Schizosaccharomyces pombe: one gene and its partners. The gene in region 3 interacts genetically with the main gene of each other region. Each region holds a gene or a part of one and is shown on either strand. Other genes may lie near its edges.

The links.
Region 1: of his7 (region 3) and atg7, changing one enhances a phenotype caused by changing the other (phenotypic enhancement), as found in Schizosaccharomyces pombe (one study listed by BioGRID).
Region 2: of his7 (region 3) and git7, changing one enhances a phenotype caused by changing the other (phenotypic enhancement), as found in Schizosaccharomyces pombe (one study listed by BioGRID).

Annotation. Positions count from the first base shown.
Region 1 is NC_003423.3:2,633,727-2,645,341, forward strand, and holds atg7 (E1 Atg8 and Atg12 E1 activating enzyme Atg7), read right to left. Parts: upstream 2,883-11,615; 5' UTR 2,869-2,882; coding exon 2,678-2,868; intron 2,637-2,677; coding exon 2,531-2,636; intron 2,490-2,530; coding exon 2,157-2,489; exon of another isoform or gene 2,122-2,156; coding exon 1,687-2,121; exon of another isoform or gene 1,627-1,686; coding exon 1,471-1,626; exon of another isoform or gene 1,433-1,470; coding exon 1,008-1,432; exon of another isoform or gene 967-1,007; coding exon 663-966; 3' UTR 565-662; downstream 1-564. Other genes in the region: microtubule-site clamp monopolin complex subunit Mde4, read left to right, coding at 1-564; ubiquitin hydrolase Ubp14, read right to left, coding at 3,887-6,118, 6,188-6,283; U4/U6 x U5 tri-snRNP complex subunit Prp1, read left to right, coding at 8,264-10,984; ofd1 (2-oxoglutarate and Fe(2+) dioxygenase domain-containing protein 1), read right to left, coding at 11,320-11,615. UniProt on the Schizosaccharomyces pombe protein: E1-like activating enzyme involved in the 2 ubiquitin-like systems required for cytoplasm to vacuole transport (Cvt) and autophagy. Activates atg12 for its conjugation with atg5 and atg8 for its conjugation with phosphatidylethanolamine.
Region 2 is NC_003423.3:858,786-867,886, forward strand, and holds git7 (SGT1-like protein Git7), read right to left. Parts: upstream 7,245-9,101; 5' UTR 7,210-7,244; coding exon 6,953-7,209; exon of another isoform or gene 6,897-6,952; coding exon 6,503-6,896; exon of another isoform or gene 6,460-6,502; coding exon 5,971-6,459; 3' UTR 5,870-5,970; downstream 1-5,869. Other genes in the region: U2 snRNP-associated protein sap61, read left to right, coding at 1-1,099, 1,155-1,288; phosphatidic acid transfer protein Ups2, read left to right, coding at 2,446-3,000; SPOM_SPBC36.11 (uncharacterized protein), read left to right, coding at 4,489-5,520; ubiquitin hydrolase Ubp15, read right to left, coding at 7,755-9,101. UniProt on the Schizosaccharomyces pombe protein: Involved in cyclic AMP (cAMP) pathway, possibly by participating in the assembly or the conformational activation of specific multiprotein complexes.
Region 3 is NC_003423.3:2,035,217-2,045,720, reverse strand, and holds his7 (phosphoribosyl-AMP cyclohydrolase/phosphoribosyl-ATP pyrophosphohydrolase His7), read left to right. Parts: upstream 1-3,528; 5' UTR 3,529-3,574; coding exon 3,575-4,828; 3' UTR 4,829-4,988; downstream 4,989-10,504. Other genes in the region: rpl8 (60S ribosomal protein eL8), read right to left, coding at 1-157, 224-226; gid2 (ubiquitin-protein ligase E3), read left to right, coding at 1,958-2,600, 2,661-3,214; Cu(2+) transporting ATPase Ccc2, read right to left, coding at 5,020-7,734; SPOM_SPBC29A3.21 (uncharacterized protein), read right to left, coding at 8,327-8,629; TIM22 inner membrane protein import complex and succinate dehydrogenase (SDH) anchor subunit Tim18, read right to left, coding at 9,142-9,621.

The DNA of each region.
Region 1 (11,615 bases), 590 kb from region 3:
GAGAGAAAGAGTTTACTTGTTTCTCCTCGTGTTTCGTCCCCAAAACTTTTTTCCCCTTCGAAACAGGCAATTATGGGTACTCGACAACCAAATGCAACTTCAGGATCCCCCTTGAGCGTTACCCCTTTTCTTCAAAAAACTTCTACTTCTATAGGGCTATCTTCTAGTCCGCCTCAATCATCGCCATCAGCTCAGTCCTCACAGCCTTTTTCGCGTGACAAGTATCCCCACTCCATGACCGTAAGCCCATCCAATGCTCGTTATCTTAAAAAACACTTAGACGATACCATCCCTTCAAATGTAAGTGATATTAATCATAATGATCACTTAAAAATACCACAATCCCCATCATCATTGAGTCCTTCTAAGATTCCAATCAGAAAAAAAAGAAAGTTGAAGGATACTGTTTCTAACTGTGAATTTACAGAAGAAGATAGCGAATCTAGCTTTCTATTAGAGACAATACAACCTACTAAAAGTACATTACGACGCTCAATAAGTCCGTTAAAAAAAAGAAATGATGAGATAAATGAATTGAAGAAAGGATTTACAATGAAAAAATAAATTAAATAGATTTTGTCTAACACTTCATAGATTTTTCAATTATCGATTTTTCCAAACATAGTTTAATTCATTAGTATACTGGTCCATAACACACGCCATTAAAGAATCACACTTTCTTTATCACTAATCCATTCTTCCATTGTGCCAGCAATTTCACCTAATGCTTGTACTTCTCTTAATCCACATAATTCTTCAACATAGTCCGGTTCATTAATGGCTCGTAAAACAAACATCCATTTCTCTCTGTTCCATTCATTTATAATACATTCACTGCAAGCTGAACACTGAGGATAAGCCATCCCTGAAATTTTCATTAGGCTAAAATTATGCAAGAACCCTCGAATTTGATGGGGAAGTTCACCTAACACAGTTTGATCTTCATTTAAGACAGGTGCAGCATGTCTAAAATTGATAATTAATAATTCTAAAAAAAATTTCCGTACCCATTGGGGTGCTGCAGCAAGCTAACAAATAACTCTACTGCTATTGCTGTAGCAATGTTAGCACATCCTGATCGTGTTACTGTGCAGGTCTGATCAAGTGTACGGTCAACTAGTGAGTTTGAAGGCGCAAATATGTCATTACAAAAATAACAACCTAAGCGATTCTCTTTTTGTAAAACACTACCATGTCTCATGACCAGCCAGCTGTCAAATCCTAATGCTGAATTGATCAACAACTTGTCCATGGCAGTTGATATGACTGTCGGAAGCCAACGTGATTCCCTTGTATCGGTCAACAAGAATATCGCATCGTGAGTGGAAATAAGGTTCTCAAGAGTTTCGTAATCATGCATAGTTTTCTCAATGCCAGCTTCATATATAGGGTGTCCAAGCATTGGTATGCTGATGTTATATCCCGTTGAAAACTTCTTTGTTAGCTTGCATTCATAATAATTTTTTGTACCATATTCGGGTATATCTCCTTAAGCCGTTGCGCCGCACACTCTGCCTTTGGCAACTTTCGTTTGCAATCTTCAAATGTAAACAATGACTGGCGGACAGGATTTGAGTAGGAGACAGTAGAGTAATCCACAAATGTAACATGTCTCACCCCCCACGACTAGAACGTTAGCAATTTGGTCGTTTGCTTCATATAAATATTTTATTTCAATTTCATTACCAGCAAATTCCTTGCCACTCCACAACCCAGAGTACCGGCCCCCAGAAGTAAACATTTTGAGTTTTGAATACGATCGAGATCTAATTGCGGCACTAGTCTCCATCTCATCAAGCTTAGGTTTAACGTTGAAGCAGATTCAGACAATACAAAAGGATCAAGGACCGTAGACAAATTAACGACCCGGGGACCTAAAACGCCTTTTCCATTTCTTTCCCATCCAACGATTGAAAGGGGTGCTTCAAGAATCATATCCTTATCTGCTTCAACTTTTATTAGTATGCTTTTCGACAGCGTATCAGAATTAATCCCATCGCGATATAGAAATAAATTAATCACTTTCAATTTAAACTTAATAAATGCAAAAGCGAGGATATTCCTGACTGGCCAAGATGGATATTCTGCCAATTGAACAGAATCTTCTGCAACGAGATAAAACTACGTGTTAGTTGGATTAAAAATCGATGGCATACCTGAAGCGACTTGTCCACACAGTGGGAAAGCTCCTTCAGAGGTGCAATAGTCCATTCATCTAATGTTGATTTTATTAATAAGAAAAAAGGGCGTTGATAGTAATCAGCTGTAGACAAGAATTCACGAATTTGAGATAAAATTGGACCTGAAGGTATTAGCGATTCAGCTGGTGATAAGTCTTTTACAATCCAGTGAGGAGTTTCTTTAAACGAAGGAAATAAGCACCAATAATGGTATTTGTAAGCTTTTATGTCGGCGTAAGAAAATATAAGAAATCTAAGTAATTCATTAGGCCTTTCAGAAACAACTCCGTTTTTAATTGAATTTAATAACTATACATAATGTTAATGAGCTTTTGTATCAATCTACTTACAACTTCACCAATTTCCTCTCGAATTTTTTTCACGTCAGCGTTAGTAAATTCTTGAGGAGTATTGGCATTTAACAGTGTACCCTCGGCTAAACAGTCTTTGATATTACTAGGGACAGATTAGATGAAGCATTATTGTACACTCATTACCTGTTTGATGGCGCTTCTCCAAATACAATTGATATATTTCCTCTTGAATATGTATTAAATTTACCATGAATAGTTAAAGGTGACGCGTCTAATTTTTGCTTTTCGACTTTGTAATTGCTCAATTGATGCCAAAACGTAGCATCAATGGAGGAATGGAATGACTGAAACTGCAATGCCTTTCCAACAAACATTTCTGAACGTTGCTACAACGTTAGTTTGCTACACAGTTACTATATACTGCTGGGTATACACAGTAAGTAGTGTAGTAAATTATAGATGTCATTACATGTTGAAGCCGTGAACTGTTTATCACTGTGCTTTAAATTTCGTTAAATTAGAAATTATTTAGGGCAAGTCCAATTTACACCTGCGTTATTACAGAATATATTGAATATTGCAAATATGCTATAATTACATTGGTGTCAGCAATACTACACTACGTTGCGTATCACTATATGTCACATGTTCTAATTATATATCGTACCATGTATGATACGATATGGAGATTGATCTTAATGATAATCTATTAAGATCAATATTATCTGAATACTATAAATAGAGCTACTGCTGAACCTCGTTCCTCAGTTCAGTTATGAGCTATATTAGTGATAGGTAACATTATAACCCAGTTAATACAATACCTATACTCAGTTGCTACTTATACAACCTGTGTATTGTAATATAATAGATCACAAGGAAAACTCACCGCAGTTCTACGTATCCTTAAATCAGATACCAAACTGCGTAGCTTACAATTGGGTTTCAGATATATTTTCAAATAAAATGAATGTCAGCTCTCTTATGTATTTAGGGTCAAATTTACATATTTTGAAACTCTTGACCGTGGAGACGATATAGCATTTAATTGGAATGGTGCGTGGATACTTACAATCAAAACTACTCTTTCAAAATTTAAAATACGAAATTCGTTCACAGAAGGTAACTCAAAATGCTATTAAGGATATTTTTTATTTATTTCAAATATTCGGGGAGTGATGACTGTAAAACGACTTTTGCGTCAAAGGAGTTTTTAAAGCCAAACTGAATGGTTGGTCTATTTTGTAAAGAAAGACTTAAATCCGGGTCTCTTTGATAATGTAATGTTAAAAAAATTTAGTTGTTGTATGCTACCAAATTCTGCTCAACCCAAAATTCAATAAGACGCTCCGATGATTGCTATTAAAAAAAAAAAAATGATATAAATTAATGTCAATCTAGCCTTTCAAAAAGATAGACATATCCGGTAGTTTTTGCTTCTTCCAAGGAGGCAACTTGAAGCACCTTTTCATCATTAAACAAAACCCATTGCTGCTTTCCATCTATCTCTTTGCGTATAAATGCTACATAATGACCGGCATGCGCACTTGAGCCCTTATGGCTTATTATGGCCTTTAAATTGTAGTTGACTGGAACGTTTGTCGATTCCCAACTACCCATATTTTCATTTTTTATTGAAGAATCTGATCCTTCAAGTGGTGGTTCTTCAAAACTTTCATCCGGATGATTTAAAATCCAATCAACTGCGCGCTCAATATTATTGTTAGATTCAAGCAATCCTTTTCGTGCTTGTGCAACAGTAAAGCCGAATTCACATAATGATTGAACATTTTCTTCTGAAACACTTGAGTCTGCTTTGGGCAGTAATTCAGAAACTTCAATAGGTTTGTCAATTTCAGGGTCCTCCATATGTTCAAATAGCCAGTTCATGGCAGTTTCAGTATCAGAATTTCCAGTAGCGAGTAATGCTCGTTGGCATCTGACTAAAGGAAATCCCATAGCTTGAAGCTGTTCAATAGCACTTTGGTTCCATTCAATGGTCTCTGTCTTTTCAGGAAGATAATCTTCGTCATTTGGGTGGTCCTTAGCCATTAAGCGATCGAAATTATAAATTCCGTCTTCATTAACTATTATAGGGATGCTTAATTTCTTAACTTGATATCCCTGTAAATCAAACCGGTTGGCTTGTAGGATCAAGACTTTCGGGAACGACTTCATGGCAGTAGTAGTTGTAGCTCCTAGTTTACTTTTACAAGCTTCACAAGTATACTCCATTTGGTCTGGTTGTATAGTTGCATCTAAACATTGGTCTATTGAGACTTCTTCATAAATTTGCTCACCCTCAATTTCACCAATTTTAACACGCGGAACTGTCAAAGTCAATCCCTGAGAAGAGAAAGAAGAATAGCGAACGCGTTTACAGGAAAGACAAGATAATTTTTGCTCCGTTTCAAAGTCAAAAATCTTAGTAATGTCAGTTTTCGCAATACTAGATTTCCGTATTTTCCCCAGCAAATACAATAAAAACTCATAAGCATCTTGCTGTTGAGAAGTTCCAAATTCAGAATGCCCTTGTCCCACAACATCTTTGAACATAAAAGGCCTCAAACCATCTTGGTAAGGAAGAATCGATGAAGAAGGATTATTGAGTAAACCAATTTTGCTAGGTTTAGAAAATTTCCCACTTACTAAACCATCAGCTAGTTTACCAAGTTGACATTGCAAATCTGTAGTGGGGGTTTGACAAACAGAATTATAAGTGTTGAAAAGGTTTAATTCGTGAATAGCAAATTCCTTAATAGAAAACAACGACTGCATAGTTGAGGCCAGATAACAGCTATTACCAAGATTTTTAAGACCAGTTAATCCTGGTCCAAACAATCTTTTTGAAGCGTCATCCTCTTCGGAGGCACCAAAATCCCAATTTAAATTTTGCTCTAATTGTAGTTCAGCCAAAGATTTTTCAGTTTTGTTCAACTTGGCGATATCGATGCCGAAATTTAGCATATGTGTCTTTATATTTGGGTCAATTCTTTCCTCATCGCAACTATAACAATATATATCAGCCTGACCATCAGGTGAAATGCTTTTGAGTTTAACTGCAAGCGGATGTCCTGTATCATCATAATGAGAAAGGGCGTGCCCATTCCCACCACCTCCTCCGTACTGTTTTCTTCCACAGCTTAATGCGCCACATGTTAAACACATCCATAGATTTTCTGCAAGATCACATTTTGAACATGTAGCATTGTCCAAATTTGTGACGTAAGTTTCATTTTCTGGTAAATTTATTATATGATCACAAGTAGTTAATTCATTTTCCCATGCAGTTAATTGACTTTTGTTTGATGCCTTGGTAGCATTTTTCATTGCCTCTAATGATAACGAAAGTAAGGGATCCTGTATATCTAATATTATATTACAGACCAAACACTTAGGGACATAAAAATAATCATATAAATCTTCATCACTATCTTCTCTGATCTCAAGTTTCGTAATTTTTTGGGGAGGCTCATCATTAATTTTTTGCTTAGGTTGCCTGGCAATGGTGACCACAATTGGGTGCAAAGTTTGTTCAAAATGGACAAGTGAGTGTTTTAACCCAGTTTCCCCACATCCAGATTGAAAACAGGTTAAGCATAAATCAATTCCACCTTCTTCATCCTAACGTTTGTTAACGAATTTGAACTCCTCTGAGTACATGTTTTAAAACAAGCTATTTAAAAAACATACCTGCGAATTAAAGCAACGGACGCATTCTTCACGATATATTACCTGAGAATTATCTGGGATTACAACGTTTGTCTCTGTGAGGTGCGGACACGACATGGGTTGCTATAGGTGTTTATGGATGGATGGACATGAGGTAGGCAGAATATTAACATTAGTTAATAATATACGTGCATCTTGTTGATTAACGTATCGCTACAACTAAAATACCATCATGTTTTACAGAGGGCTTAATTAATACTCCTAATCCTGCATACCAAACTCTTATTAATTCGTTTAATTATAAACTAAATTGCAGTACGTTACAGTACTGCAACGAGTAATATCATTATAACTCAATTTTCCTTGTTTGTAGAACTCCAGAGGTCCAATAATTGAACATCCTGGGGTTATTCTTTTTATTGTGTAAATAAATTAAAAACCAAGAATACTGTGCATGAACTATTACCATATTTAGACTTCCGAGTGCAGATGTATGCTGTCGAGTCTACCTATACTGCTGATTAGATATTGCTTATTAAAACAACATTTGTATCATTTCCTGTAAGCTTGCATTTTTATATTGAATATTCGAATAGAATACTCATTGCTGTATCCATGTATTAACGCAACAGTGGACAGCGTAAATAACATTGGCATATATAATGTTATCAAGCAGGAGATTTGTAGAAACAGCTTATTTACACAGTCTTAAAATAACAATAGTTAATTAATATTTCTTGAATTTTTTTTATGATAAGTGAAAATCCACACATCAGATTCTACTATACTCACTCAAGTTGTAAACAGATGGTTAATATACGCTGTATTTATTAAAATATCATTCTGAATATATCATTATCATTTACACAGGTACTCCTGAAATTTATAATATTAAAAAAAAAAAAAAAAAAAGAGAAAAAGATACAGCTAGATTAGCTGCCGTATTTTCTTTAAACCAAATTTATTTACACACTACATACATAATTCATGCCTATATTTATAAATGGAATAAAATAGAACAATTTTAATACCCAAAATTAACCTGGAAAAGCTAAGTTAAAAATGAAACGAGCCATATATATTGCCGATTATTATCATATTTTGATATCAGTGTTTTGCAGATGATTCTAATCTAACATATCTGAATCTTTTATTCTTTTTTGTGAAACTGACTTGCTTGCATCTTATGGCTGGAGTCAGTATAAATTTCTTAGAACTTATCAATCCAACGAATATACTTCTAAAAGATATTACATTAGCCTTGCACAACCTGCAGTTATAATCAAAACACTTAATCAACGTAGCTCAAGCATGTCTATTTAAGATGTTAAATATGTTTTGGTAAATTACTTTGCAAATAAAATTCTAAATACAATGGTTTGGCATTATGATAAAGAATAAGACAATTTACAAGCGAAAATAAATTTGACTGATGTGTCCAGGTACACTCATACTAGATACGATGAGCATTGATTTGAAACACCAGTATAATATACCGAGACATTAAAAGACAAACGTAGTGGCCATGCAAAAATATTGCTGCAACGTCTGTCCAGTTATCACTCGGATTCAATTAAGATTTGTTTAATTCCAATACTCACAAAGCTTGTGATGAACAATATTTTTCGTAATTTCAACCGTTCTGCATACTTTACACGACATTGATTTACAAAGTGTAAATTCATCTTCAAAGAAAAGTAGGAAAATAAAAGAAAGGAAGAAAACACTGTTCATGCATTTTTTCAAAATTGTTGCAAAAAATCTAATAAATTTATTTGGCTATCAAATGCTAAATCATAAATACTCGTGTGTTAGCGGTTCAGTGTATAACAAGTCAATCACAATGCTTATTTATATATCGTTTGATTGTAAAATCATTACATACAGTAGGAAATTTATTTTGTTTAAGAAATATTCTATCTTAAGTTTTTCTAAATTTACTTTTACCTAATGGCTCTTTTTAACTTTGTTGTAGTAAAGCTGCTAGGAGTTAATTTCTCTTCTTCGTATTGCCTACTTTTAAAATTTGAAAGCCACTACCAGATATTTATAAAGCCGAAAGGCTCGGCTTATTGCATTTAATTGCAGATAATTAGAATGGCAAACTTTTATCCAGATTTTCTGAATATGCAGCCACCTCCTAACTATGTAGCAGGTTTAGGACGTGGTGCAACAGGATTTACAACGCGTTCAGATCTTGGGCCTGCTCAAGAATTGCCATCCCAAGAATCTATAAAGGCTGCAATTGAACAAAGGAAATCAGAAATAGAGGAAGAAGAAGATATCGATCCTCGTTATCAGGATCCTGACAATGAAGTAGCGCTGTTTGCTACTGCTCCATATGATCATGAGGACGAAGAAGCTGATAAAATATATCAATCTGTAGAGGAACATTTAAGTAAAAGAAGAAAATCCCAACGTGAAAAACAAGAACAGCTACAGAAAGAAAAATATGAAAAAGAAAACCCCAAGGTTTCTTCACAATTTGCGGACTTAAAACGTGGGTTATCCACTTTGACAGATGAAGACTGGAATAATATCCCAGAACCCGGCGATCTAACTCGTAAAAAAAGGACTAAACAGCCGAGACGTGAAAGATTTTATGCAACAAGTGATTTTGTTCTTGCAAGTGCTCGCAATGAAAATCAAGCTATCTCTAATTTTGCAGTGGATACTCAAGCAGGAACAGAAACTCCAGATATGAATGGGACAAAAACAAATTTTGTTGAAATTGGAGCTGCTCGTGACAAAGTTTTAGGTATCAAGTTAGCACAAGCTTCGTCGAATTTGACTTCACCATCGACTATAGATCCGAAGGGGTATTTAACTAGTCTGAATAGTATGGTTCCAAAAAATGCCAATGACCTGGGTGATATAAGAAAAGCTAGAAAATTGTTGCAAAGTGTTATTGAAACGAATCCAAAGCACGCCTCTGGCTGGGTAGCTGCTGCGCGGCTTGAAGAGGTCGCGAATAAATTATCTCAAGCACAATCTTTAATTTTAAAAGGTTGCGAAAATTGTTCTCGCTCTGAGGATGTTTGGCTAGAAGCAATACGACTACACCCGGCTGCAGAAGCAAAAGTTATTATTGCAAATGCCGTTAAAAAATTACCAAAGTCAGTGACGTTATGGCTTGAAGCCGAAAAACTTGAAAATCAAGCTCAGCACAAAAAAAGGATTATAAAAAAAGCTTTAGAATTTAACCCGACTTCTGTAAGCTTATGGAAAGAAGCTGTAAATTTAGAAGAAGAAGTGGATAATGCAAGGATACTATTAGCTCGTGCCGTTGAATTAATACCCATGTCCATTGATTTATGGTTAGCTCTTGCTCGACTTGAAACTTATGAGAATGCTAAAAAGGTGCTCAATAAAGCCAGACAAACCATCCGTACTTCCCATGAGGTTTGGATTGCTGCTGCTCGTTTGGAAGAACAGCAAGGTAATGTATCACGGGTGGAAAAAATAATGGCTCGTGGTGTAAGTGAGTTACAGGCTACTGGTGGTATGTTACAACGCGATCAGTGGCTTTCCGAGGCTGAAAAATGCGAAACTGAAGGGGCAGTGATTACTGCACAAGCTATAATTAATACGTGCCTCGGTGTTGGATTGGATGAAGAAGATCAATTCGACACCTGGTTAGATGATGCTCAATCTTTTATAGCTCGTAAATGTATAGATTGTGCGCGTGCTGTTTTTGCTTTTTCTTTAAGAGTCTATCCAAAAAGTGAGAAACTTTGGCTGAGAGCTGTTGAACTTGAAAAGCTGTATGGTACAACAGAAAGTGTTTGTTCTATTTTAGAAAAAGCTGTAGAATCATGTCCTAAAGCCGAAATTTTATGGTTGCTTTATGCTAAAGAGCGAAAAAACGTTAATGATATTGCTGGTGCTCGGAATATTCTTGGGAGAGCTTTTGAATATAATTCTAATAGCGAAGAGATATGGCTTGCTGCTGTCAGAATTGAATTTGTGAACAATGAAAATGAACGTGCCAGAAAGCTACTTGCCCGTGCTCGTATCGAATCGGGAACTGAACGAATATGGACTAAATCCATTTCGCTTGAACGAATTTTGGACGAAAAAGATCGGGCGTTACAACTTTTGGAAAATGCACTGAAAATTTATCCCCATTATGATAAGTTGTACATGATGAAGGGTCAAATTTTTGAAGATAAAGAGCAGATTGAGCTTGCTCGAGACGCATACTTGGCTGGCACAAAAGTTTGTCCTTATTCCATACCTTTGTGGCTTTTGCTAGCCAAACTTGAAGAAAAGCAGTCCGTTATACGCGCGAGAGTTGTGTTTGATAGGGCTAAGGTTAAAAATCCTAAGAATGAATTTTTATGGCTTGAACTTATAAAAATGGAACTCCGGGCGGGGAATATTTCACAAGTTCGTGCAGCCCTTGCTAAGGCCTTGCAGGAATGCCCATCTTCGGGTTTGCTGTGGACGGAGGCTATATGGCTTGAACCTCGCGCACAGCGTAAAACTCGTGCTACAGATGCTTTAAGGAAATGTGAAGGCAATGCACATTTACTTTGCACCATCGCCAGGATGCTGTGGCTGGAAAAAAAAGCAGATAAGGCGCGTAGTTGGTTTTTAAAAGCTGTTAAGGCTGACCAAGATAACGGAGATGTGTGGTGTTGGTTTTATAAGTATAGCTTAGAGGCTGGGAACGAAGACCAACAGAAAGAAGTGCTTACAAGTTTTGAAACCGCTGATCCTCATCATGGTTATTTTTGGCCCAGTATTACTAAAGATATCAAAAATTCTCGGAAAACTCCGCAGGAACTATTACATCTTGCCATAAATGTGTTATGATTACGACAAAAATGATGACTGTAACATATTGGATCTATTATTTATCTTAAAATTAATGTTTAAATTGGTATTCGAATTTACTTTAGATATTTGTAAATTTACGGACTTTTTAATAAAAAAGAACGATTTTTAAACAGGTTCGATTGAACACTTACTTTAAATCAACAAGAATACCAGTTAAGAAAGCAGTAAAAGTGTAAACCAAAACTTTTTATGTAATACACACTATCAACACGAAAGTGGGTTTTAAAAAACACAAGGGAAAAACTTTCAAAAATAAGACAAAAAATTAGAGAAAAAAAAATTAAGTAACCCCTTTTAAGTATATGTTGCCTTTACTCAGCAACGGGATTCCATTGTGAATATATATCCCAGCGACTAGATTCGGCTTGACGCGACACATATTTGACAAATTGAAGGACACCTTCATCTCTATAAACCAAAGAAAAAACATTCCAAGCGGCTGGCAAAGAAAGCAAAATACTGTCATCTTGCTGATCACCCCTATACACAGCAGCATCTACATCAGGATCTTCATCGCCAATCATATAAATATCATATGCACCATTGTCAGTATTCGCAATGCCTGTCCCCGGAGATAAGCAAAGAGTAGCTTCTAGTAAAGCTGTGT
Region 2 (9,101 bases), 1.2 Mb from region 3:
ACAGAGTTTTATAAATCGCTGGGAGAGATCCAAGAGTTTCACAAAAAATATCCTGATCATAAAGTTGAGGATCTGAGTCAATTATATTCCATAAAGCCTTCTCAACCCGGGATTGACGAGATTGACACGTTATTTCGAGGTGAAGAGATGTATGGTCGATTTATGGATCTTAACGAATGTTACGAAGAATATATAAACTTAAGCAATGTACAGCATATTTCTTACTTAGAATATTTGAAAAATTTGGAGGATTTTGATCAAATCCCCAAGCCTGAAAAAAATCAAACATATATCAACTATATAACTCATTTATACGAATACTTGGTGTCCTTTTATCGCCGGACACACCCTCTGTCAAACTTGGATAAGATTATTGCGGTTTTTGATACTGAATTCGACGCAGCATGGGAAGCTGGACTTCCTGGTTGGTATTCACACAACGCTGAAGCCGAAAAAGATGGGAAAGACTCGACGGAAGCATTTTATTGTGAAGTTTGTCAAAAGTTTTTTGGGAAGATCACTGTATTTGAAGCTCACAAAAAGAGCAAAGCACATAATAAGGCCGTTAAGAGGATGCAGTCTTCTAGTCCATCTACCACAAGTAATACGAACGAGAAGCAAAAAGGACCTAAAGCGATTGCCCGTATCGAGTTTTTAATAAAAAAGTTAACGTCTTTGCTTGACGATGTTCGAAAGGATACTCGTGAAAATGTTGTTCGTCGACAAACTTTGACGGCTGCAGAACGTTTGGCAGAAGTAGAGGCTGCGGAAAGAGAAGCCTTTGAACAATCGACTCCAAGCGTAAGTGTTGAGGGAAATCAGGATGAGGAAAGTGATCAGGATGATGAGGAAAAGATATATAACCCTTTGAAGCTGCCATTGGGATGGGATGGTAAACCTATTCCATTCTGGCTTTGGAAACTCCATGGCCTTGGTAAAGAGTTTCCCTGTGAAATTTGTGGAAATTACGTGTATATGGGTAGAAAGGCATTTGATAAACACTTTACTGAACAAAGGCACATATACGGGTTAAAATGTTTAGGAATATCACCTTCACCTTTATTCAATCAGATTACTTCTATTGATGAAGCTTTGCAACGTAAGAAAAAAATGATTGTATTTGGTGAGTTTATGTTACTAACGAAAATTTTTAGTTTGGCAAAAGTACAAGGTGGACTCAAAGAAGCGGGAAACCACAATGGCGTCTCTCAATGAAATGGAAGATGACGAAGGTAATGTGATGTCTGAAAAGGTTTACAACGATTTAAAGGCCCAAGGTTTATTATAAATAACGTACATGACTCAATTTTTGTAGTCGTGTAAGTGTACATTAAAGAAATAAAAAATTGATATTTTCTTCCTACTTGAGTTATAAAATGCTGAGCATGCTCCTTTATTCTTCTTTGCGTTACATACCGAAGCAAACGAAAAGAGAAAACATGAAAGCTAAAAGGCATACTATTTTGAATTCTCGTGACACAGCATGTTTTGATCTTTTATTTCCCCCCTTTCTTTTTGATTGCGAAATTTTTGATAGTTTCTCATAGCACTGCTCAACGATAGATCTCCTCCCGGCATTTTGACGATCTAAGGCCCAGTTGGGTTTGATTGAAATTCTAGAGTTCTGTTATCTTTTACGTATACGCTTCTACGGGCTAGTTAGTGTTTGATGTAGCAAATGCTATAATTTTCTCAAGCATAATAAAACAATGAGTCTTGTGCATTATCACCGTATTAAAAAAAAAAAAAACTAAAACAAATAAGAATTATTTCAGCTAGAAACCAAATCCAACTCCTTCATAAGAGATAGTGTTGTTAATACATAAAGTACATATTTTATATAAATTTCTATATATCTTTTATCCATAAACATAATTAAATGACACTTTTAAAAACCCATTAGTATAATATAGGCCTTATTCCGCTTTGGTGCGTTATTATATATAGTGCATCGTAAACTACAACCTTATAAAAAGTGCGATGCATATCCTCTGTCGTACCCCACCTCCACCAAATGCATTGATTCGCTTATGGCTATAGTTTAAGTAAAAATGGTTAATTATTGGAGCTCCTTTGTCCCGCCAACCAGAAAACCGCATATAAAAATAGTTCCGCTCCACTGCTCTGTACATAAAAAAAACCATACACTAAGAAATTGTACATTAGTTAAAGATCCCAAAAAAAGCATATTTTACTTACGGGCTGATTTCAATTTAAAACAAACTCGAAAAGTAAAGGTGCATCAGTTAGTAGATCTTACCTCAGAAAAAAATTAAAGAAAAATCTTACGAGCGGCCCAGAAAGAAACTTTTGGTTTTCTTAGTTCTTGAGAGACAAAAGTTAATAGCTAAAAGAAGTTAGCTAACTTTTTTGATTTAAAAGGGTCATTCATTCTTTTTTTTTTACTTAGTTCACGTAAAATTTCATAAAATTTAGGTATCCTAAATGAAGATTTTTGAAAGTTGCCACTTATTTCAATATCCTTTTGAACAAGTTTCAGCGGCTCACTGGCAGAAGTATCCCAATGAGCATGCTACTCATGTGATAGCCGTGGATACTCTTGATCGCAAGGTTTTGGATAATGGTGTATTGTATACGGAACGCTTGATCACGTGTCACCAGGCCCTTCCTAGATGGATTTTAAAATTGATTGACGGTGCGCAAGATTGTTATATTCGAGAAACTAGCTATGTTGACTTGAAAGCGCGCACTTTAACACTTTTAACCTCAAACTTGACGTTTAGTGATCGTTTGAGAGTAGATGAGACGGTGACTTACTCACCCCATCCTGAACTGGAAGCTACTGTTTTTCAACAGGAGGCTCGAATTGAAGCCTTAGCGTGTATGAAGCGGTTGTCAAACCTGATCGAACAATGGTCGGTTGATGGTTTTGGAAAGAAAGCTTCCCGTGGAAAAGAAGGCTTCGAAAGTGTTTTAGAAAAAATAAACATGTCTGTATTCCAAACGCGACCGTTTGGTTCTTCTGAAGCGACCGCATAGACTTTGTTTCTTGATTCAACCTCTCTCTTTTTTCAAAAGTTTAAAGTTATCGGTTACGAAATAATCTTTTCTCCGTCAGTTGGCTTGCGAAATGTTGCAATAAGTCGTCTTTTAGTTTTCTGTTTCTCGTAATATTACTCCTCTAACCTATTTTTGATCCCCTCTCTTCTATTCTCGTTCTTTTAATTAAAAACTTCTTCAAGTTGATTGACCATTATCTATGTCTACGCTCAAAGATGTTTGTTGTTTTTAAAACAAAATGTGTGTCATATTTTTGACCAATACGACTTATAAGCTTTTTCCAAACATGTGTGTTTACAACTTTTATACCATTAATTTAATCGTCTATTTCCCCAAAAAATCGTGAATGCACAAATGATGATGCGCTATGTTAATCGCTTGCTTCTTTCTCCCCATGGAATAGGCTGCTTTCAAATCATCTATCTGAAAATTAAAAGGTTTATTCTTTCTTAAATGCAATATCTGTTTTACAAAACAAGATTGGACATCCACTCCTTTTTTTTTTTTAAAATTTAGTTAATATAATAACATTCATATAACAAGCGCCTAAATTATCATTGCTTGAATTATACAATTAATACATTTTGCATTCATGTGCAATTCGCATTTAAGTGTAATACGAAATCTGTAGAATTTGTGGCCAAGAACCAGTTTTCTTAAAAACTAAAAGAGAATTGTACAACCTCTCGCAATTATTAGTATTACCCATAACGTACTGAATAAAAGGAACGGGACTTTCTCTTTAGTGCCTGTCTCCTATACTTACCAGCCAACTTTAGTGAAGCGGAAAGTGTTGTCCCGGAGTTTCATCCGTCTTCCAACCGCTACCGACACTCTTCAATATAGACTAATTTTGATCGCAATTTTGATCTTTTTGGTGCTTCTTTTGTTTGATTTTTGTACCGTTGAAAGACGTCTCACTTTTGAATTTTCTCTTGTGGACTTTACCAATGAGCAATTGGCCTAAATTTACAATTCTAATATTTCTCCTCTGATCCTTACTCCCTAGTCGTTCGTTTTTAATTACTGTAAGATTTGTTTAAAACATTTTCTATTTCCTATTTACATTAACGCTTATGATTCAAGTCAAGGTTTTTTCAACGGCTATATAGTTTTGTATGTCTAATTAACTCGCACGCTTTGAACATACTGTATATTTTATCATTTTATAGCTTTATTCTTCTCCAATAGTTGCCATCTACTCTTTTATTACCATTTTAACCAAGGTATTTTAAATCATTTTGGGTTTTTTTTGCATTCTTGTACTTAGAGGTTACTGGAAGAAGATTTTAATATTTCTTATTTATCAGTTGTCGCGAAATTCCGTCAACAATTTACTCTGACATTTTTGGGATTAACGAATTTTTCTTTGAGAAATTCAAAATTTTATAGTTTATTGGATTTTTAATTTCAAGTTTCATTTACATTCTAATTTCTATCATTTTTACGATTGGTTTGTCATCTATTATGTCAATTTCCAATGATTCTTTGGCTTCAACCGTTCCTGGCGACGAACTTCCTTCCTCTTATCCAGTTTTTTCTTCCGACTTTTCATATATCAAACCATCTCATGTTCTCGACGTAGTAACTGTTACTAGCACAGCTGGACCCGAAGCAACTGATGATCCTTCTTACAGTGGTTTTTATTCAACTGTTATTTCAACGCAAAACCCCGAACCAACATCTGCTTCTACTCCACCCTCGGCAAGTGCATCTTCTTTACCAAATGGTGCTCAAAAACATAACCATACAGGCGTAATTGCTGGTCCCATTGTTGGTGTGTTAGGTGGGTTAATTGTTTTAGTGATAATATTCTACTGCCTTCGTCATTTTAAGAGGAAGAAGTTCTTAGCTGAGCAGCAAGAGTTTGAAAGGCAGTTTGAAGAAGAAAAATCTCGTCTTGCTGCTGTACGAAAAAATACTGAGCAAGAAAAAATGGGCTATCGTGGTGGTTATCAAATGCATTCAACTCCTTGGGCTTCTTCACCACGTAATTCGACTATACCTCAACGGTCGCAATCTTTTTATAATGACACCAGGCGCTCAAGCGATTTAGGAGCCAATGCTGCAGACTTTGTCACACCTCCTGGTAATGTCGCTAACTCAGATAATATTCGCATACTTAAACGGAATTCAATTGCAACTATTGGAAATTATCGTTCTCCTAGTGCTTTGGAGAAAAGGCGTTCTATATCGTATGGTGCAGTTCAATCCGTTCAAGGAAGACCCTTGGCACCAATTCCAGGAAGGCGACCCTTATCCATATCTTCGGATTTGTATAATGACTCGAATTCTGGGTCACATTCGAACGATGATTCTGATGAGACGAAGTTAAAACAAAGTTCAACTGAATCATCTAGTGAGTTGCTCGATGAAAAAGATAAATTTGACAAAAACAGTTTGAATGACCCCTTTGTTACAATTCGCAAGTCTTCCTATGAGCATGAAATTTCGGAAGAGCATAAAAAACATTCAAAGAAGAGATCAGAACATTTTTAAGGAATTGCTGCTTAATGGAGTTTCCAGCTACTACTAAGATATACTAATGACTTTTAAACTAATCACGTATATTTGATATCTCATTTTTTTTCATTTTCACTGCATTAAATCATAATACTGGTTGTTTTCATATTAGATGGAATAGAAGGTTTTTTTAACATTTCTGCTCAATTTATACAACTCACACCGGAAGGCAACTTTTGGAATTAATTCTAAAGGTTTTATCAATTAATCTTTTAATTTTTCAAATTCTATTTGCATATGGCCTTTGCAAAAGAACTTAATAATACTGTTTCTTATACTCTTTTAATTTGCTACTCTAAACGTAAATGTTTACAAGAGTTTATTTCGCATAAATCTCAATTGATAGTTCATCAAATTAGATATATAATTATAAATAAATTGTTAAGCTTCTCTTCAAGCTTGTAAATGTAAAAAGTTCATTCGGAGTTAAAATTTTTTTGGTTCCATTCCCTGTGGAGGCTTTGTTTCAAATGTTTTGCTTTTCACATCTTTCCAGTTAGTTGATAAAGCAGTGCCGTTACTTTCTGTATAGCTTTTCATCATAGCTCTTCGGGTGTCATCATCGGCGTTCTTGTACAGATTTTGAAATAAGTTAGCCAAAGCAGCTTCTCCAGTAGGTTCGTCTTCTTCCAAATCTGCCAGCTTTGCTAGCGAATCCCAATCCTTCGCTTTATTTTTCGTATTACCAGAAGCACTTGAATGGTTTGAATCTTTAGCATAGACGTTCACCGAATTGTTCGCCGGACTCTTAACTAAGGCCTCCCATTTTATCTCGCTGACTTTCTTAATTAAGGTAATTTCAACCTTACTTGAAAATAATTTGAATGACGATTTTTCAGGAACAATTTCTTCATACAGAGGATCTAAAACCAAGGAGAATATTGATCCATCTTCAAGCTTAATTTCTATTTTCAACTAAAATGGTTAGCCGGACGGTTTAGCTTTGCACAGTCCTTACAGTGTTCTTTTCCATTAATAAGCTCACATCTTCATCTTTGACTTTCTTCGCATATATGTCGATATTTAGGGAAAAAGACGTTTGGGACCAGTCATAACGAATTCTATTTGAAAGTTTTTCTTCGTTTTTTTCTATTTGGCCTTCCGGCGCCTTCAAGCTCATATTAAGGAACTCTTCGTCTCCTTCAATTTTGGCAGCTTCTAATTCCGGAATATTTGGACATTCATCTGGAATGAGCGATGAGGTGTCCTGATTCTGTTGTTCGTGAACGATCGTAAGCATGCTGTCTAGTTGAACTTGCCATTTTGTTAAATCTTCTTTTTTTAAATGTTTTAGGGCAAATCCAAAACATATGGCAGAACTTTGATATTGCTCAAGTAAGTAATACGCAAGCCTGTAAAACATAGTCAGCAAATTACAGAATTATAGGAATTTAGAAATCGTATTTACCCTCTTAGAGATTGACAATAACCAATTAAACCGGTATCGGATTTCTTTTTTGCCAGCAATAAAGCCCAATTAGCATGCTTTAGACAACTAAATGGTTTGTAGGTATTTATGCAAGTTGTAAAACACTTGATATGCTCCTCTATTGAGAATGATGGTTCTTTTACGATACATAGGTTTCTCTGCTTCGCCAAATCATTTGACAGTTTATCAGATAATTTGAAAAGGGAATCATTAATATCAGAAAGATCTACACCCATTTTATGGTTTTGCTTGTAAAACGGCGCAGAAGCTTGGTGGATTAGAAATTGAAGGTGGTGATAAAAGCTAATGCCCAGTGAAAGCGTGTAAGGAATACAGATCATCAAGATTATTATTATATGTAAGATGGACCAAACATGGGTTGATAACTTAATAAAACACCAATTTAAATGAGTTTTGGCTATGGGTTTCATGTGAATATTTTATCAAATGTTACGATTACAATTATTAACAATAAACATTACATTCTGCTACAATATGAATCACTGTAGAGATAAAAGAATACATTTTGGAAAAATTTGAGTATAAAAGAGCGGGCGATTATCGATTTTATTTAATCATACGCAAAACAACAAGTAAATAGTAAGATATCATATAATGCGAAGCGTGCTTCGCAAATTTTGAAACAAAGACGTCATTACGCGAATGCATTACTATTTGCCAGAATATATCAATTTATTGATTGAAACAAAATTGCTTGGCTTCTAGTAAATGGCACCGCTAACATTCAAATTGGAGGTTTAAAAAGGTGATGTATAAACAATTATTTCATTCTTATTGCTTGGTCCATACCATGGTATTGAGCACTACCATTAGCTGGTGGATGATCGAGTCCCAAGATATGTGACTGTGGTTCAAGTTCTCCATAGAGTACTTCATCATCGTCGGTAAGATAATAAGGCTTTCCAAATGACTGGGCCTGCAAAACTGCAAGCTTGACTTTCGAGAACTGGGTATCGTTATAGCCCAATCGTTTTTGCAGCCGTTTTTTTAGGTCTTTCAAAGTCTCACCACGAAGTAAGACAAAATAAAATGGGATATCATGCAACCGTGATAAGTCTTTGAAAAAGTGTTGTACTACAATTGACACTGCATCATCAGTCTTTAATTGCATTTGTTCTTCTTTGGGCGTGACTTCAACATAAGCAGTGGAGAATTCATTTAGATCATATATTCCATCCGTGGGTAGATGACTTTTCAAAATCCGGTGATTGTAAACTTCATAAAGACGAAGTCTCGAAGCATCTTCAGCATTTAAAGGTACTTTTTGAGTAACCTGTCGAAGAATGTCTTCCACAGTTCCTTCCTTGTCAACATAAAACTCCATCTGAGTTTCATGCGAAATACCATTCGACAGGAAATGCACCCGGATTAATTGCTTACGCTCCAGTTCACTAAGCGTAATGTCCAAGACTTCATAGAACATAACCACATTTTGGTTATGAGAGTAGGTTGATGGTATCGCATTTTGTAAGGTAAATTTCGAAGGGTTACGAATTACTGAACGAGGAGTGCGCGAAGGTAGATGTGCCATAGTAAACTGAAGATAATTAGGATCGACATTAAGTTTATTGGCCACTGCTCGAGCCATATCAGTATAATTGGTATGCGTTGTAAGCACCAAATCAAAAACACCATTGTTGGTATCATCGGAATAACGAGGCTCAAAAGTAATTACTACTCTATGTGCCATGAAATCATAGAGGTCAAGAGCTGATTTGTAAGGGTGAGAGGTGTCCGATGAAGAATCATGGACCAATTTCTTCTCAAAACATATAATGTCTCCCACTTGGATCTCGGATTTTTCAAAACTAGCATTCGGATCCAAAACATCAACCATGCCGGTTTTAATTTCTTCATAATATGTGATAGGAACATCAGAAGACCACTTTAAATGTTCACGAATCCACTCTGAAAGTGAAGAAATGGGGCTATTCTTTGAAACATGTAGGTCGGCCAAACCGGATATTTGCTGAGTTTCATAATCGAAAATCTTCAGAAAAATGTAGGTGTCGAAATCGTTATCATCCGTGGCACCAAAATCCGCAAGTAGCTGATTGTGTTCACTTAAGAATTCCACATAAACTCTCATATCCATGTCTTTACGTAT
Region 3 (10,504 bases):
CAGGCCACTTAACAAAACGGCTCAAGTCACGCTTAGGTTGGATGTCTTGTCCAATACCAAAGGAACGGGGACGGCTCACGAACAAAGGGTTCTTAGTAGTTTTTGCAGCCTTAGGCTGAGCAAAAGGTGAGGGTGCGACCTTTTTAGACTTGGGTGCCTACATTTATGTTAGATAGACTGGTTTTTATCAATTTATCGACTATTTCAATCGATTGTCACTTACCATTTTTGGTGGTTGTTCAAGTTAGAAGTTTCTTTCCACGACGGTTTTTTGGATACTGTGTGACTGTTTAGCAAACCCTACCCTAGGACGGTGTTTCAAACGTCGTACCCAAAACAACATCATGGCGAAAAAATATAACGATAGTTAGTGAAATACATGCAATTGTAGCAAAGGATTATGGATGTGGAAAATTGGAATATTTGAGTCTTTCATATACTTTTTATGTTTTTACTTTATTCTTTACAAATAAATACGATTAGTCTTAAGTTAATTTAGCACAAAGATTTAAAGTCTCACGCAAAAAAAAGTTTTCACACCTGAAAATCTGAAAACTTCAATTTCCATAAATATTAAGCTATCAAATACAAACAGAGTAATGATTTTGAAGAGCTGAGATCGAAAGAATTCTCGAGTTACTAGATTTCAAAAAATTTGGGATGCCAGCTCGAGTTATCCTATTAGGCTTGTATCCCACGGTCAATTCAGATCATTAATAGTAATAGTTAACTTTCCAGATACTCTACGGAGAGTTGAATTTATACTTTGATCTAACAAACAAAAATCAAGTTAATTAATAGATAAGTCAATTGAAAGCTCACCAGGCGAAATGTCTTATCTTGCCGCAAAGAAAAATATATATATAGTATACAGGATAAAACTTTTTTTCAAAAATTCAGATTTAGCTGATGTTTTTTAAGTTGTTTCAAGCAAGGTTTCATCTCTTGCTGATGCCAATAATTATACTCTTAAGTTCGAGTGTAACTGATAAAAAAAAATCAATCTTTGTAGTATAGGAGTTTCAAAAAACGTTTACATTCTTCAAACCAAAAAAAGCTAAAGGGCGCATTATCATAGAAAAAGTTTTTTCTAAATTAGCTCCGCAATCAGCATAGAGGAAATATGAAAACAATATACCGCACTTTCAAGAACTCAATAATAAAACGTACCTGAATTACAATTGCTCGACCTTTCTCCGAGAAAGTTACTTTGATAGGATCAGAGAGAAGATTAGCTTATAAGAAGATAGGTATCAACATCCGATCAATTTAATATCGGAGATCTGAACAACTTGTCTCATCATTTCCTTCTCCTGGTCGACTTTATGGAACTAAAGGGTTACAATTGCCATTCGTTTATTGATCGATAGTAAGCTTTCTTGATATCATTAAATAGGTTTTATAGTTATTTATCACCAAGTGTACATGTATTTCTAAAGTCATCCACTATGATTTAATCCAACGCCAATACAGATAAGTTTTAGTCTTTCAGTTATTTGAAGTTTCGATTCATAGGATTTTGAAATACAAGTTCAGCTGGCAATAGGAAACAGGTTAATTGCAATTAACAGAATATTACGAAATGTTGATAAAAATTCTAAATGCCGATATTGGTAGATGGGAAATTTGGTACCTGATATGTAGCAGAGTGACTTCATTTGCTCACTGATACAAAGCACTTGGCACGAGCAAACCACACTATAGGATGCTCTTATTTTAATAATTGGTGTCTAATAGTGCTTTTAAATACTTATAGAACATCTTCTCAATTCATATTATAATTCTTTCTTTTCCAATCTTGCATAGTTTTTAATCAACTGAGCAACGTGCATTGAAGATTTATTTCTTTGACGATAAAGCCCATACTTGGAGTATTTAAAACAAAGGTGTTGGAATTGGACAATATTTTAATCTATTTCGTCTTTTATTTTTTTTCGTAGTAACTTCTTTATACATAATGAATATCGACGAATGGCAGCGGATTGAAGAAACGGCGCCTGGAAATAAATGCTTAGCTAAGCTTAATGAATTGGAAAGTATATTAAAGGATGCAAAGAAATCTTGCCTAAAAGATCCTACTACATCTATGAAGGAATTGGTAGCATGCTCTGAAAAAACACAACAAGTTTTTGATGATCTGAAACGTACCGAGAAGAAGTTTCACACGTCTTTAAATCGATTCGGTAAAACTCTTGAGAAAAAATTTAACTTTGACTTAGAAGATATCAAGCTTCATTCATCGTTTGAAAGTAAAAAGCGTGAAATTGATACTGCTTTATCATTGCATTTTTTTCGACAAGGCGATGTTGAGTTAGCCCATTTATTTTGCAAAGAAGCTGGAATTGAAGAGCCCTCCGAAAGTCTTCACGTTTTTACGCTTCTCAAATCTATCGTTCAAGGGATTCGAGATAAAGATTTAAAGTTGCCCATCGAATGGGCCTCTCAGTGTCGTGGTTATTTAGAAAGAAAGGGAAGCAGCTTAGAATATACGCTTCAGAAATATCGACTTGTTTCTAACTATCTCACTACTAAGGATATTATGGCTGCGATACGATATTGCCGCACAAATATGGCCGAGTTTCAAAAGAAACATTTAGCGGGTAAGTTTAAATGATCATAAATATATTTAGGGAATTTTTGGTTTTTTTAACTTATATAAGATATCCAAAAGACAATGATAGCTTTGTTCTTTTGTTCCAGGAATGAGGTCCTTTCGGGTACAAATGACTCGCATGATTCCATCCATCATATAATATCAAACAACGCACAACTGAATATTCCCCAAGAGTATATTGATGTACTTGATCTTGATTGGAAATCCCTTGAACTTTTATTTGTTCGAGAGTTCTGCGCTGCATTGGGTATGTCCTTGGAATCCCCGTTGGATATAGTAGTAAATGCTGGGGCCATTGCTCTACCTATTCTGTTAAAGATGTCCAGTATAATGAAGAAAAAGCATACAGAATGGACTTCACAAGGGGAACTTCCGGTTGAAATTTTTTTACCCAGCAGCTATCATTTCCATAGTGTTTTCACTTGTCCTGTTAGCAAAGAACAGGCTACGGAGGAAAACCCTCCTATGATGATGTCTTGCGGTCATGTTATTGTCAAAGAAAGTCTTCGACAATTATCTCGAAATGGCTCTCAACGATTCAAATGTCCCTACTGTCCTAATGAAAATGTTGCTGCAGACGCTATTCGTGTCTACTTTTAAAAGGAATTTAAGATAATGATTTTATTTCAACTAAATTAAGAGTATTATAAATGCCACCAAAAGACTGTTTCCTAACCAAGCAAGGATTTCGCTATGCCAACGAGAATCCTAATTTGCGAAAGTGGTTTCAAAATAATGACTTAAAAAATTGATGGAAGTATTTATGAAGCTAAAAATTACTGTTTTTATCTTTGATGATTCACCTACTCTCCCTACTTGAGATCTCTTTTGAGTCAGAAAATCTGACGCATTGTAACCTGGTTACCTAAAGGTGATTTATGATTGTTACTTGGGGCGATGTGAATCTTTCGTTTGCCAAACAGAAAAGTAGTTAGAGTTTTAGGGGTATTTGACTTACAAATGGCTCTTTTACCATTTTTTGATCTTACGAACTTTGAGAGTGATGCTTCTGAAGAGTTAGGATGGCTTAAGTACGTCGGCAGAGTGCAAACAAGAGTGTTTCCTCAGCATTTCAAAGATAATCTCGAAAAAGTTCGCAAAATTTCGGAAACGATTGATGTGATCGTTGACACGACTGCTGAACTTGGACCAGAGGCCTGCGTCAACCTTTTGAACGCTGGTGCACTCGCCATACTGGTTAATGAAGAAATGCTAAACGAGTTGGCAGACATCTCTCCGAATCGTTTGGTTTTGAAGACAGACACTACTGATATTGGAAAAATTGAAAAACTTTCACAAGTTGCTGGTTCTATTCAATGGATCGGCAGTGCTGAGAATTATCCCCCTGACTTTTTTGAAAGAGCCAGCAAGATCATTCACAAAGCTGTAATGCCTGAGGGTGGAGGCCGAACTTTATATTTGGAGTTCCCCGAACAACCATCTATGGAGGTACTGAAATCTTTTTCTGTTCACTCTGTCGTTCCCGTTCTGTCAAGTTCTTTCTTGACAGTGAAGCCTGCCGAAGAGCCCAAGAAGTTATCATTAGCTGATCTCATTTTGATATCTGCCAATACTGATCGTGAGGATGGACTATTTTCTACTTTAGTCGTCAATGAGCTCGGTATTGCACTTGGTCTCGTGTATTCTAGCAAGGAAAGCGTTGCTGAGTCTTTGAAGACTGGCACTGGAGTTTATCAATCCCGCAAACGTGGCTTGTGGTACAAGGGCGCATCTTCTGGTGCTGTTCAACACTTAATTCATATTGACGTCGATTGTGATGAAGACTGCTTGCGCTTTGTCGTCTATCAAACCGGTAAAGGTTTTTGTCATCTTGACACCTTGCATTGCTTTGGACAAGCTTCAGGACTTTGTCAGTTAGAAAAGACTTTAATCGATAGGAAGAATAATGCTCCTGAGGGATCTTATACTGCTCGTTTGTTCTCCGACCCAAAGTTATTGCGTGCAAAAATTATGGAGGAAGCTGAAGAGTTGTGTGATGCTACCACCAAAGAGAATGTTATTTGGGAAATGGCTGATTTGATGTACTTTGCCATAACCCGCTGCGTCGGTTCGGGTGTTAGCCTTAATGACATTAGTCGTCATCTTGATTTGAAACATCGTAAAGTTACAAGAAGAAAGGGAGATGCTAAAGTTGCATGGCAAGAGAAACTTAAAGACAAAGGAGGAGTGGCAAACACGTCTTATACTGCCTGAATTTTTTAAATTTCTACTCTTCATTCGCAGATGATAGCAGTCGGTCTAAGGTGTAGTCTACTAAAACCTTGCTAATGCGGAAATTTTTACTTTGTGTAATTATTTAATAATGAAAAAAAATTCATATTTGCTGTTTGTACTAATATTATTTGTTTTATATTGTTTAATTTGAGCGCTGGATAGATAATAACTCAGACTTCATTAGCCACTGGCTGGTATTTGTTGCTCGACTTATTCCTACCAAATATCGACCTTGTCGCTGTGTATACCTTCTGTAATACACTAGAATTAGTTGAACTCTCTGTTTCAACATCATCTGCTTCACTGAATATAAGGCTCTTAGGCTTTTTCCATCTCCTGAGAAGTAAGCTACTTGCAAGAACACTAAGAGAAGAAAACATCATAGCAGCACTAGCCCACATAGGATTTAAGTAGATTCCCCATGGAAGGAAGAAGCCCATTGCAATAGGAATCATGACAAAGTTATATATGCAAGCCCACACAAGGTTCATTTTAATTCTTTTAACGATAACTCTAGACAAATCAAAGGATACTGCGGTATCAAGTAGAACGCCTTTACGTACAAGTATTACATCTGCACTTTCTAAAGCAATGCCTGATCCATTAATGGGAGCAATGCCAACATCAGCCAACACAAGTGAAGGCGAATCATTTATACCATCACCTACCATAGCGACACAATGCTTCTGATCTTTTAACTTCTGAATAATTTCAGCCTTTTGAGAGGGAACTGCTTCCGCGTAAACATCAGAGAAATCGATTTCTAGTCCTTGGGCAACGCGTCGGGCAGTGGCTTTTTGATCACCCGTCAATAAACAAACCTTTTTACCTAATTGTTTTAAAGCGGATACAGTTTGGTACGAGTCGGGCCGCACTTGGTCCATACAGCCCAAGAAACCTACAAACTGGCCATCGATAGCGATACGAACACAAGTAAGCCCACTACTAGAAGAAAGCTTCAGCTTTGAATCAAAGTCATCAGGTATCGACACGTTGTTATGTTCCAGTAACAGTGAATTCCCAAGCAAAGCATGAAAAGTCCGCTCTTTCCACCTAAGTACAACATCAACACCTTCACCTGGCACAGCATTGAATGATTCAATTCCAATTTCAGAAACATCGGTAAATTCTGAAGCTTTCTCAGTAATAGCTTTTCCAATTGGATGTTCACTTGAAGACTCTGAAGCTTTAACAAAAGCCCAAAAAATATTCTTAGGAATGTCAAGTAATTCCTCCAAATTATCTACAATGCTTATGTCGGTGACACTTAGCTTACCCACTGTAAGTGTGCCTGTCTTATCAAAGACAACAGTGTCAACCTGATTTAGACGCTCTAAAATTTCACCACCTTTGATGATGATACCGTTCAGAGCACCAACACCGGTTCCAACCATAACGGCTGTAGGGGTACTTAACCCCAGTGCGCATGGGCAGGCGACAACGACGACACTAATTGTCAATTTTAGGCAAACTGCAAACTTTCCCATTGGATCATCAAACACCGATGGGTATTTTGAAGAATATTTAGTGAATAAAAACCAAAATGTAAAAGTTGAAATTGAAAGAGCAACAATTACTGGAACAAAAATTCCAGCAACGCGATCGGCAAATTGTTGGATAGGAGCATGTGAGATTTGAGCCCTCTGAACAAGATCAACAATCACAGCTAACTGTGATTCTCTAGGTGATTTTGTTGCTTTTACAAGCAGTCGTCCATTCCCGTTAGCTGTTCCGCTCAAAAGTTCATCGTCAATTGTTTTATGCACTGGAACGGGTTCTCCAGAAACAGAACTTTCATCGACGTAGGAAGAGCCTTCAACAACCGTACCGTCTACAGGGATTATTTCGCCAGGCTTGACTAGAATGAGGTCTCCACGCTCGATGAGATCAGCTAAGATCTCAATTTGTTCATTGTCTTCTATTATCGTTGCACTGGAAGGAGCAAGGCTCAACAGTTGAGAAAGAGCAGCTGATGTAGAACCTTTAGCTTTACTTTCCAAATAACGACCTAACGTAACAAACGTCAATAGCATATCAGCGGTATCAAAAAATATAGGAGCAGGATTATCAGCATGTCTAGCGCTGTAGAGAATCATGAAAAAGATACTGGCAGCGAAGGCTACAGTGGAGCCCAAAGATACTAAAACATCCATATTGGCTGTTCCTCTTTTCAGTGCATGATATGCGGCAGAATAGTAGACCCTTCCAACACCAAACTGGACGGGAAGGGATAATACTAGGCTGATGATGTGGCCAGCACATATACCAAAATAATGGGGGACCAAAAAAGCAGCACGCATGGAATCACAAGAATCGAATATCTGGGGTAAAAACATCACCGCCAAAGAGAATGATATTGAAATAATAAATCGGATTTTCCATACTCTAATTTGACTCCCTCGTTGAAGTGACAGAATACGAGAGGTGGAGGAATCTACTGGTTGAAATGTACATTTGACACCCATAGATAATATTTCCTTCATGATGGAACGAGGGCCAGTAATCTCAGAATCATAAATGACACGTATAGCTGCATCCGGGGAGGAAGAGCAATTGACGGACAAAACGCCTTGCAGTTCATTGATATGATTATGTACTTTGGTCCATTGTTCCGCCTGCATAGGAGAAAGTAATAAATAATTAGCCATGACACCATGTTCACCCTCTGTTGAAGAAATCACAGACGCATCAAATCCACAATCTTCAATTTTCTCAGCGATCTGATCCGGTGAGATAATGCTAGGATCATGAACGGCAATAGCACGCTCAAGAAGCAACGATATAGTGAATTGTTCAATTCCTTCCACTCCTTCCAACATGGATTGGATAGAGGCCACACAACTGGTGCATGTCATACCCTGGACTGAAAGTGTAGTAGTATACATTTTAAGAAACTAAACAAAATTTTTAAAGGCAATCTAAATTATAAAAAGAAATAACGAAAAAGAAATAGTACAAGCCAATTAGAGATTAAATAAGGAAAATTAAGAGAAGCGAGTTACTGTATAGAAACGATAAATGTTGGAAATGTCGAAATAAATAGATAATAGTAAGGAACCCAAATCAAAGACAAGAGACGTAAAAAAAAAAAGAAACCCCCTCAAGTGAAGAAATAATCAAAATTTGACGATTAAAACCAATTACTTAATGTAAGTCAACAGCAAAAAGAGACAAGCCGATGATCAACAAAAGAAAATCAACATACAAAACTTTGGAAGGAAAAGAAAAATAACAAAAACGATACCAATGTTAAACAAAGCCAGCTAATAAAGTCTTTTTACACGCTTAGCAGTTAGCTGTTTTAGGTTGGGATACCACGAATTCAGAATTCGAATTCGCTTATTGTATCGTGATTTTCACCACAAAACGATTTAGAAAAAAATACAAAACAAAACGAATTCAACTTCAACAGACTACAGAAGAAGAGCAAATTATCAGCTGAACTTGTTAACAAAGTGTTAGTGAGTGTGTGGTAGATTACAAAAAGCACATGATGGCAGCGATATAAAACCGCAAAAACTCGCGCAAACTACGAAATATACAACTTGTAAAAATAATATTCAAATTGACATAATTATGTTTTAAATTCGAGGAGAATAAAAATCTTTGACAATAATCGATCGAAGCAGAGTACGACTTTTGGAACCGAGACGCATGCACAGTGCAAGCATATGATTCCACTCCCAATTGCTTAACAATGTGTAAAGACACTTCGGTAAAGCAAAATACAACAGTATGGCTAAGAACGTTATGTAAATATCGAAAATTGTAACGCAACATTCGATAAATGAGATTAAAACGGTAAACGTTAGAGCATGTCTTCTAATACCTTATCAAAGAATAAGGGAACGAAGCGTACATGGGTAAATTGTTGACCCATTCTAAACGATAAATAATAAATGGGACACCCAATAAAATAATTCAATGGATTTTGTCTTGGAAGAATTATTAATTCAAGTCGACATAAGGACCTTAACAAGAGCTGCCACAAACTTGAATAGTCTTCTAACCACTCCCACTAGAAAAATTATCGTTGAAGGTAAACATAAACATACTGTGCAAGCGCTAAACAGATTTACACAGATAAATTGAGAGGATCAATCAAGCCAGAAATCAAGAAAAGAGCAAAGATCAACTGCAGAATATCAATTGGCAGTTTTGGGGTTTGAACTGGTAAGTTTCAAGCCCAAAACTTACTAGATGACGGATTAAGGAGAATAAAAAAGAAAAAGGAAAGGAATAATCATTATGAAAAAATAAGTGGGGTTATATGGGTTTGCATGGAAAGAAGCTTAAGATTTCCAAAGCTTTTTAATACCCTCCGTAAGGCCAATATCATTCGTGTTGAACTCATAGACGCCAATAAGTGTAAGAACAGTACATCCACGTAAGATCCAGTGCATCAAAGGAGATAACTTCTTAAATCTTCTTGCAGGGAAGTAGTCAATCACACAAGATTCAAACCCCAAGTGGGCATGCGTAATCAAGGTGCAAGCCAATGCAGCGTCCATTAAGGGATGAGAAGTTCCGGTGAACAAAGGGATCATGACTTGAGGAACCATGGCAATAGCAATAATTCTTTCAAAGTCCCAATGATAGCTTCCGTGGAGCTTACTGTGGTGAGGGAAAACAGCAGCATCATTAACAGTTCCCTTAATGGTCTGAGGGGGAGGAGGGAAAATTTTCGCAACACTGGTTGTGCTAAAAGATTTAACTGCAAAAAGAAGACGTCCTTGACGAAGTGCTCCAAGTCCTAAACGTGTTTGTAACATATTGTTTGTAAACCAAGAAAAGCTGGTGGTGGTAGTAGGTGAGTTCGTATTGGCGGATCTTGTGTCCACATTATTGGCCATTCAACAGCTCGATGTGTTGAGCTTGGAGTGGCCGGAAATAGGCGATGAGAACCTAAATCTATCTACTCATAAACGAAAAATTGTATAACATAGAGTAAAGACTAGAAATTTAAATAGATATAATAGATTAATAAGTTTATTCAGAAGAATCTCCGGTCTTTAAGGTCGTTTCAAAACCTGGTTATTACTTTTTATAATAATATTATTCACTGCTGAAAACGAATTACCTTCTACATATAATATTACATGGGTTTTGTGGTGAGTTTGAATATCTATTATAATATTACACAGTACCAAAAGTTACTGCAGTTTCAAAAAAAATTTTACGGAAAGCACTACATTGTGAAAAAACAATAATCTACTGTAAATCTTTTTACTTAATAATATAATATAGATAAAGCTATAGAAATTTACTTGTAGCAATTATGCTAATATAAAGGTGCTGCATTGGCTTAAAAAAAGGTTAGAGAAACGGTTTTAAGAGGATGAAAATTTTATTTAAATTAATATCATTTATATAAAAAACTATTCTCATAAAAAGAAACCATCAAGCTACTCAATAGTCGATGTATAACAATGCTTGATTCGGTGCTAGTCAAAATTCTATAGTTGGACTGTTATTTTTTTAAAAATGTATTAACCGAAATATTGTAATGGAAATCATGGAAAAGAGAATTTCGTTAAGTATAAATAACCTTTTAATGTAGATGAATACGAACTTAACCTGATGAAGTGTCTTACCCTGTCTGATTCAATGTCATATAGATTCTTTTCAATATACCGATGAAACAATATATCCCCT